Linked DNA regions of Ovis aries. The protein of the gene in region 2 purifies or fractionates together with the protein of the main gene of each other region. This does not show direct contact. Links are inferred from orthologs where the notes say so. Each region holds a gene or a part of one and is shown on either strand. Other genes may lie near its edges. The genes, in order: CCT3 and DNAAF10.

Region 1 (4,310 bases), on a different chromosome or scaffold from region 2:
CATACAACTAGCTTCATTTTCCCCAAAGCTGGGCAATTAAGAAGGTCTGGTTTTAAGGGAGAGGAAGCAGGGCATCTGACACACACCTCTTTTGTTAGTAGGATGACTAGGAAGCTGCTCCATCTGAACATCCACAGGTGTGGTGCCTGGGGAAAAAAAATCATAGTATCTCATGACTGACAACCCATCTTACTGTTTCACTATTAACAATTTCTCAAGTTCTCCCCAGTAGAGCTCAGGCTGTTCCAATTTGGAGAGGAAAAAGTGTGAAAGGATGTACTGTCTTAGTTTATGGCTAAATAGAAGTAACTGTTTTTGAATTGTTTTTGGTCTCACGGCCCTTCCTTTAGTTTGGAAAACAGCTATTTCCTTTTTTTTCTGGACAAAAGAGTACTTTAACCACGCCTAAACCTTAAGAGTCTCCTATGAACGGGCAAATATTCTGTGTTCTCTCGTTTTAATTTCTGTAGTATCAGTCCTTTTCCTATTCTGTAGGGTTATTTTAAAACTCTTGCTCTCCAGCATCTCCAATGAACCTGCAGCTGAGGCGATGAGGAGGGCACGGGAGGGAATGGGCGTGGAGAAAGAAAATCTTGAGAGCACTACAGGAAACACTTGTTTTGAATAGGACAACTCGGGGAAAAACTTAAGCCATCACCTCCTGGTACCGCTGACAGCCTCAGAATAAAGCATCTGCCTAAGAAAGGGAAAGTCCACGCAGAGCAACGAGTCAGAGATAATAAACCACAATTCCCAGCGCGCCGGGAAGAACAGTCACCGCTCAGCCCAGTCGGATTGGACTACAACTCCCATTTCACCCGGCATCAAACCGGCCAGGTCTTCTCTCGACAGCCGGTTTAGGTCCCGCCCCTCTATGCCTCCCCGTTGCTAAGGCTGGAATGAAAGCGTGGAACTGCCACGCCTTTCTTGACCTTCGCGGCCCGAGAGAAGCCTAGACGCCAGAGTTTAATGACCTCACCTGCGGTGTTAATCGAAAGCCTCAGCCCCAGCACCCACCCTTGTAGTTGATACACATGCGCAGTGGCGTGCCGGCCAACTGCCGGAGCCTCGGCGCTTGCGCTGAGGTTCGCGCCGCACGCGGCCGGGAGCGGCCACCCTATTGCGCAAGCGCCTGTGCCCTCGCATTTCTATCATCGTGCTTTCTCTATCTAACTTGCCCTGCGTTCTTACGCAGGGGGTGGGGCTAAGAATGTCAATTGGTGTGTTTTCGTGCCGGTCAGTAAGATGCATGCAGTGATTGGTGGTGACTCAGAGAGTAGCGGGTTTAGGTGTGAGCCCAGAGGAGGCAGCGTTTTCTGGTCTTCTCTCTGGTTCTCTCTCTCCAGAAGGTTCTGCCGGTTCCCCCAGCTCTGGGTACCCGGCTCTGCATCGCGCCGCCATGATGGGTCATCGTCCGGTGCTCGTGCTTAGTGAGTTGTGGGGAAGGATGGGAAGGGACTCCCCTCGCCGCAGCCCCCCTTTCCGCACTTTACAGCCTTGCCCCAGCCCAGTCGCACCCTGGTTCGGCCACGGAGCCTTCCAGTCGTTCATTTTGAAAGCCCCTTCTCCCGTCTCCCCCTTTTCTTAACCCATTCCCCTGTCTTCCGCAGACGCAAATTGACCTTACCCTCGCCGAACGCGAGGGTTTGTCTTTCCAGGCAAGTGACCTCGGAGAGATGCTTCCCACTCTGCGTTCCGTTCTTCACTCCCAATCCTTGCCCCTGCACGTTTTTCCTTGAGCGATTTTCAGTGTGTAGCTGAATGAATAAATGTTTTTTAATTTGACCTAGCTTTATAATCTTGGTCTATCCTTTAATAGTGGTGTGGCTCCGGCCAAATAAAAATCGAAATAGTTCTATCTTAATTATTAGGGTTAACAGTATTTCCTCGTAGAATTGTGAGGCTTAAATGAGATAAGTAGATACAATTGTTTAAAAGAGGGTCTGGCAAACAGCGAGTTTCCTTGGCCATTTTTTTTTTTTTGATAACTGTTTTGAATTTCCTTTTGTCAACCCCTGTTCCTGATGTAACCCTGCCTCTCTCACTGATCATATTATATTAGATGTAATTATCCCTGCAAATGTCTGCTCCGTTGTAATCTTTCCCACTTTAAGAACTGAGTTTTCCCGATTTCTTAATTGGTTCTTTTTACCTTCGGGAACATCCCAGATTTCAAGTCCCATTTCACTTGTCTTCCCCTGGTATGTTTCTATCCTGTGTAACTTCTGTACCTCATCCTGCATGATCACTTGACATGCTTGACTAGCCATTTTGCCTTTCTCACCATCTCATCTTCTGTGTAAAGAATGCTATTCCGAGATTTTATCTATTTTCTCTACACCTGGAAAATAGTTATTTTAAGACAAGCATTCGCTTAACCCAGGGGGAAAAAAAAAAACAAACTATTTTTTCTGATGAATGCATCAGAAAGATCCATGCAGGATTTTAGTTAACACTGCTTGAAATAGGGATCTAAATCCAGAGAGTTGTGTTTAGATTTGATGGGACCAGATCGAAAATTTTACAACAACTTGTAGGGAAAACATAGTTTGGAGAAAGGAGTGAGAAAAACAATACATTGGTTCAGTTAGGGCCATTGGCTTTTCTCTCATTGAAAGGGCCCTAGGGTGAGTTAGTGGTGCATTGTGCAACCTTTCTGAGGTCCCTGTTAATCCTTGGCATTAGCAGCTGTAACTGATTCTGCTCCCTGTTAAAGTATATAGTACACTGTTACTGGTGGGAAGTTGGTACCCGAGGCATTCTGATTATATCCAAGCATGAAGTGACCATATCTTGCAAACCCCAATACTTTTGAGTGTGTGTTCTCATTCCACAGCACACTGGGGGTCACTGTCAATAATTTATGCTGGGACTGTGGGTATGGTTCACCATATCCTAGTATGAGAATGCAAACTCCCAAACTCTCCCTTGTTATATAAAGGAGAGATTCATGCTTTTTTAGGGACACCAGCCCTTTGAGAATCCAATACATGAGTATAAATACACGAGTGTTTGGTTAGAGGGAAAGTGATGACCAAGATTCCACAGTTGAAGCTGTGTGGATTGTTTCTTATTATATCAGGAATTGAAGTAAATAAGTAAGTAGCCATAAGTATGTGTGCTTATTTTTTAATAGTTTGTTGAGATATAATTGATTTAAAGAGTACAAGTCGATAAGCTTTAATCAGTGTATACATCCATGAAACCTGGGTGTGTGCTTATTTTCAAAGATTAGGGAGTAGCTTATATACAGTGGAGCAATACTGGTCTGTCGCCTTTTTTTTTTTTTTTAAGGATAATTGCTTTACAGAATTTTGTTGTTTTCTGTTGAACCTCAACTTGAATCAACCATAGGTATACATATATCCCCTCCCTTTTGAATCTCCCTCCCATGCCTTTTGTTTTTATCTGTTTTAGGCCAGAACACAAAGCGTGAATCTGGAAGAAAAGTGCAATCTGGAAACATCAATGCTGCCAAGGTAGCATGCGTTGTTTATAATAGTTTGCCTGTATTTGTGTTTGTGTGTTTGTTTGTGATCTAATGGAAGAAAATTTGATTTCCTTTCCTTCAAGACATTTCCCTTTTGGTGGTAAGGAGGAAGAAGCCTTCCCTCTCTGAGATGTGTCTAATGGCCTTCTCATATTGTGCATATTATATTGCGTGTTTGTGTCTGTCTCCCATACTAGACTGAGTTACTTGGATACAAGAACTATATTAATTCCCTTTTGTATTCCTAGTACTCACTGTGGATCCTGGATAGGTATATTCAGTAAATACCTTTTGAATGAAAGAATGAAACAGCCCTGGATATAATCTAGCATGGGGTGGAACCACTCTCATGGAAGGAAGTACAGATATGTGGACTCTCAGTTACCTGTGAGCTGCTGGGAAACTGTAGCTGTGAGAGCTGTGTCCCTTTTTTTCCTTTTGAAAAGTTATTCCTTTGCACATCCAGAAAACATTCCCAAAGGGGGAAAGACAACAGAATCTAGCCATATGACACCCTATATTGAAAGTTAGTTGCCAACCCTACTACTTTAGAAGTGTCCTTGTTAAAACACTGGCTCTGTGGGTTGCCCATGCCCCTTCCCCTGAAACGCACAATCACCAGCCTCTGGTTTGTGCTTAACACGTTTTGTATTTTCTTTCCAATAGACTATCGCAGATATCATCCGAACATGTTTGGGACCGAAGTCTATGATGAAGGTAGGCTTATCTCATGCTGAAACTTCAGCTACACATTTTTCCTTTCTGTTTTCTGGGGCACTTAAATATAACTTTTGCTTTGGTCCTAGATGCTTTTGGACCC
Region 2 (3,818 bases):
CTAGAAGTATATAATCGGGTATTAATACAAGTATATTTATTAGGAAACACCAGACTAAGTTTTGTTAACCAAATTCTTTTTCTTAATTAAAAAAAAATTCTGATAGTTGCTTTACAATGTTGTGTTAGTTTCTGCTGTACAACGTGAATCAGCCACACATATACGTATATACTCTCTTGGATTTCCTTCCCATTTATTGTTGACTAATTTCTTAAACCAGCTAGTCTCCTTGTGATTGCTCTTAAACTACAAAATAATAGTCATTACCAATGAAGGCCTTTATTATTAATATAATCAAGAAATATGAAACTGACAAACTTTAGGAAAGTATTCTTTGCACAGAATAACTTATCAAGATCCTATAAGAATATATTAAAAATAGCTCCCTTCATGCAAAAAACCTGGAAGGAACCTGGTGACTCATTCTATTTATTAGTCTAAAGCAAGCTATTAATATGAACATTCCTCTTCATAGAAAGATATTTCCCTCATCTTTACCTTTTCTGAAACAGAAGCAAAACCTTTGGTTGGATGCTGTGTTCTCATGTCAAAAACATGAAACTTTCCTTCCAGAGATGTAGCTACTAACTTATTCATACTTATGTCTTTTCTGTCAAACTCCAAGCTACACACCTGAAAATAGAGAATATTTATGAGTGATGCTCCAATCATTATATCCAAGAGTTTCTTTCAAACCAAGTAAAACAACTGTAACATTATTGGATTATGTGAAAGCACTTTAAAAAAAATCATTTTATCTTTTGAATCTGTATACCGAATACTTGTAACTAGAAAATTTTCTTCTCGGTTAGTAAGGTCCCAAAATCATCTCAGGCACTGAGGTACATTTGGAAAGCCATACTTTAACATTTTACCATTATTACATAATGATTTTATAAAGTCAAGTCAAGGCTGACTAGAGGAAACAGGAAGGAACCACATTCTTCACTAAAGATGTACAACCCGGGAACCAAAAAACCTGTGAGTACCTGGGAGTCAATTACAGTCTTGGTCTTCCTGATATTACCAGAAAAGGGCCTGGTACCAGCTCACTTTAACATCACACTGCATAGCCCACAGGCATCTAGAGATGGGCTACAGGGGCGGTGACCCACCAGGCACTGTCACACCACACCTGGCTGTGTGTTCTCCTTCTGAAGAGTGTCCCTGATTTTTAATCAGATCCTCAAAGGACTTCACAGACCCTAAAGGTTAAGAACCATCCATCCATAAAGGGGTTTTACTGAGACGAGTTATTAGGGGTGCTTTCCTTTTGTAGTTCAGAGGTACGTGGAAAAGACATTCAGAGAAACTGCAAAGAATGCAAATGCAGATTACCCCATTTTTTATATTTGTCTCCCACCGTAAGGACATATTTCTGAGATCAAACAGCTTGATGTCTCCGTTGTCATAGCCAGCACACACGACACGTTCCTCTTGATTATAAGCATTGCCTGGAAATCAGGACATGACATTTCAGATCTTTTTAAATGCTGATTTGAAGGCTGCTTAAAAAACTTATGGACATCCGAGACTAACAACATTGTAAATCAACTATACTCCAATAAAAAACAAAACAATAATCTTACAGAACTACACAGGTAACTTGTACCAAATCAAGTGAAGAAGTCACATTGGATAGAATCTCATTTTACTAATCCTACAGGACATCAAGATTATTAATTTAGTCTCTGATATTGTTTACCAAAAAAACTCTTTATTGAGATTCTGTGCTCAAGAGATATATGAAAGAAAGTGTTTACTGGATTTTAAATTGAAACCAAATATTCTTTCTATACTCTATTTGCAAAGACTAACAATTTAACATAGCAGGGTTCGGTAGAATAAATACAGTTACACTTCCAATGCTTTCTTTGCATGCAAATGGAAACTACTTTAAACTTATTTATTTTGCAAAATGTTGTTCTGGTGTTATCTGATGCTCACAATTGAAGTAAATCTACAACCTGCAGTTGAATTCACCTTGCTCGGATCCAGGAATTTTTTTGGATTACTCCCTCTTCTTATAAACTCCAGCCCTGCATTTCCACTGGAGGGTTCACTGAGATGACATGACAGCAGCTGAAACCTCTGATGTCTAAAACTGATGTCATCGTCTTCCTTTAAAAACTATCATACACTCTGTGGAACTCCTTCAATAAACATCATTCACTTCATAGTCAACCTCAAAATTCAGTCACTTTGGACATAATCCTTTCCCTTGTTCTTCATCTCCAAAAAAATTGCCAAAGTGTATTTATTTTGCCACATTATTTCTTTTTCTTTTTCTTTGCCACATTATTTCTGAATTCACTCCTCTGTTCCATTCTCACTGCTTCTTAACCCTACATGTTTCCTGGAATACTGCAAAGAGCTTCAGAACTCACACTTCCTCTGCCACTCCTCCCGCCTACCCGGCCACAGTGTAAAGCTAAAGCTCTGATCATATCTCCTCCTTGCAGAAGCCTGCGAAGGTTTACCACTACCTCCAGACCATCTAAACGCCTCTGGCTGTGGCCACGTGCCACCTTTAAGGCTAGTCCTACCTCCATTCCTTCTACATACTCGAAATCTCCCCATTTCAGTGTTTCAAATCCTACAAATCCTTGGACTGAGGTCAATATGTTCTTTTGGCTGCCTTGGGATTCCTTCTGTGTTGACCCATGCCTCTGTGACCTTTCATCACTCTGACCTTGTAGGAGTAATACAATTAATGTATCACTTTTTATACATTAGAGCACCTTTTATACTTGTAGCACTTTTTATTAAAGTTACCAGCTTCTTTAATTTAAAATAAGAATCTGCTTCCGATAAATGTCCTTTCTTTAATGTCCTATATTTAAAACTGCACTTACATCCCTTAGAACAATGATTAAAAAGCCTTTAATGGGCCCAAAGTTAATTATTTTTTAATTATTTCATAAATTTTACATGATGATTCTAAACACTAATTCTGAAATTTCTTCCCAAGTGTACATGTTTTTGGCTTATATCATTACTTATACATACACACATAGTAATTATAATATATACACATAGAAATCTCCCAATTTCAGTGGTAATTTAGTTTTAAAAGTATATTAATAGAGGAACATGGTTATAAAATTCGTAAGATATAATTTTATAATAGTATAACTATTTTTAGAAAATAAACACACACCGTGTAGAGCATAATGTGAGACTGGTTAGGTTACCATCTAAGGCTCTACTTAATTTCACTAATGGCATTGGGTTCTAAACTAGGTCAATATCACCAGGTTAAACAAAAATAAATAATAATACTCCATATTTTTGAACACTTGATATCTAAGCACAAGTCTAAGCATTTTACGTGTATTAACTCTGAATCCTCATAACAAAACTATTAAGTAAATTCTATTATGACTTTCATTTTATAAATGAACCAAGCAAAAATCAGAGAAGCCTAATAACTTGCCCCAGGTTACAAAGCCAGTTAAGTAGCACAGTGAGAATTCAAACCCAGGCCCAATCACCATGTCTATCTGCCTCGATAAACTGCCAGAATAATGTACAGAAGAGATTCTAAACTATCAGGACTTTCCTGAAGCACTGTGCTTTTTATAATCTGGCATTTCAGGTGTAAGAGTCCATCGGTAATTTACCAAATGCCACAGTCCAGCAGTCTCTCTTGTTTTCTCCCTGCACGGGTTCCATATTAGCAACAGGATCATCTTTCTGCCGTGGGTCCCACACCTTTACGGTTCCTGACAGAAAAAAAACAGGAGTTGGCAAAATTTAACAGTGAATGATGGCATTTCTTTCTGCATTCTCTTCACATGGCTTCCTATGTACATGGA

Evidence for each region.
Region 1: the proteins of DNAAF10 (region 2) and CCT3 purify together in Homo sapiens (affinity purification with mass spectrometry; 3 studies listed by BioGRID and IntAct, counting the BioPlex papers as one, with this or other methods). This does not show direct contact. The link is inferred for Ovis aries from reciprocal best matches to the Homo sapiens genes DNAAF10 and CCT3.

What each region holds. Positions count from the first base shown.
Region 1 is NC_056054.1:106,316,020-106,320,329, reverse strand, and holds the start of CCT3 (T-complex protein 1 subunit gamma), read left to right. Parts: upstream 1-1,334; 5' UTR 1,335-1,399; coding exon 1,400-1,430; intron 1,431-3,417; coding exon 3,418-3,479; intron 3,480-4,156; coding exon 4,157-4,207; intron 4,208-4,296; coding exon 4,297-4,310. Other genes in the region: TSACC (TSSK6-activating co-chaperone protein), read right to left, coding at 87-123. UniProt on the Homo sapiens protein: Component of the chaperonin-containing T-complex (TRiC), a molecular chaperone complex that assists the folding of actin, tubulin and other proteins upon ATP hydrolysis.
Region 2 is NC_056056.1:40,186,331-40,190,148, reverse strand, and holds part of DNAAF10 (dynein axonemal assembly factor 10), read right to left. Parts: intron 3,726-3,818; coding exon 3,624-3,725; intron 1,455-3,623; coding exon 1,339-1,454; intron 634-1,338; coding exon 499-633; intron 1-498. UniProt on the Homo sapiens protein: Key assembly factor specifically required for the stability of axonemal dynein heavy chains in cytoplasm.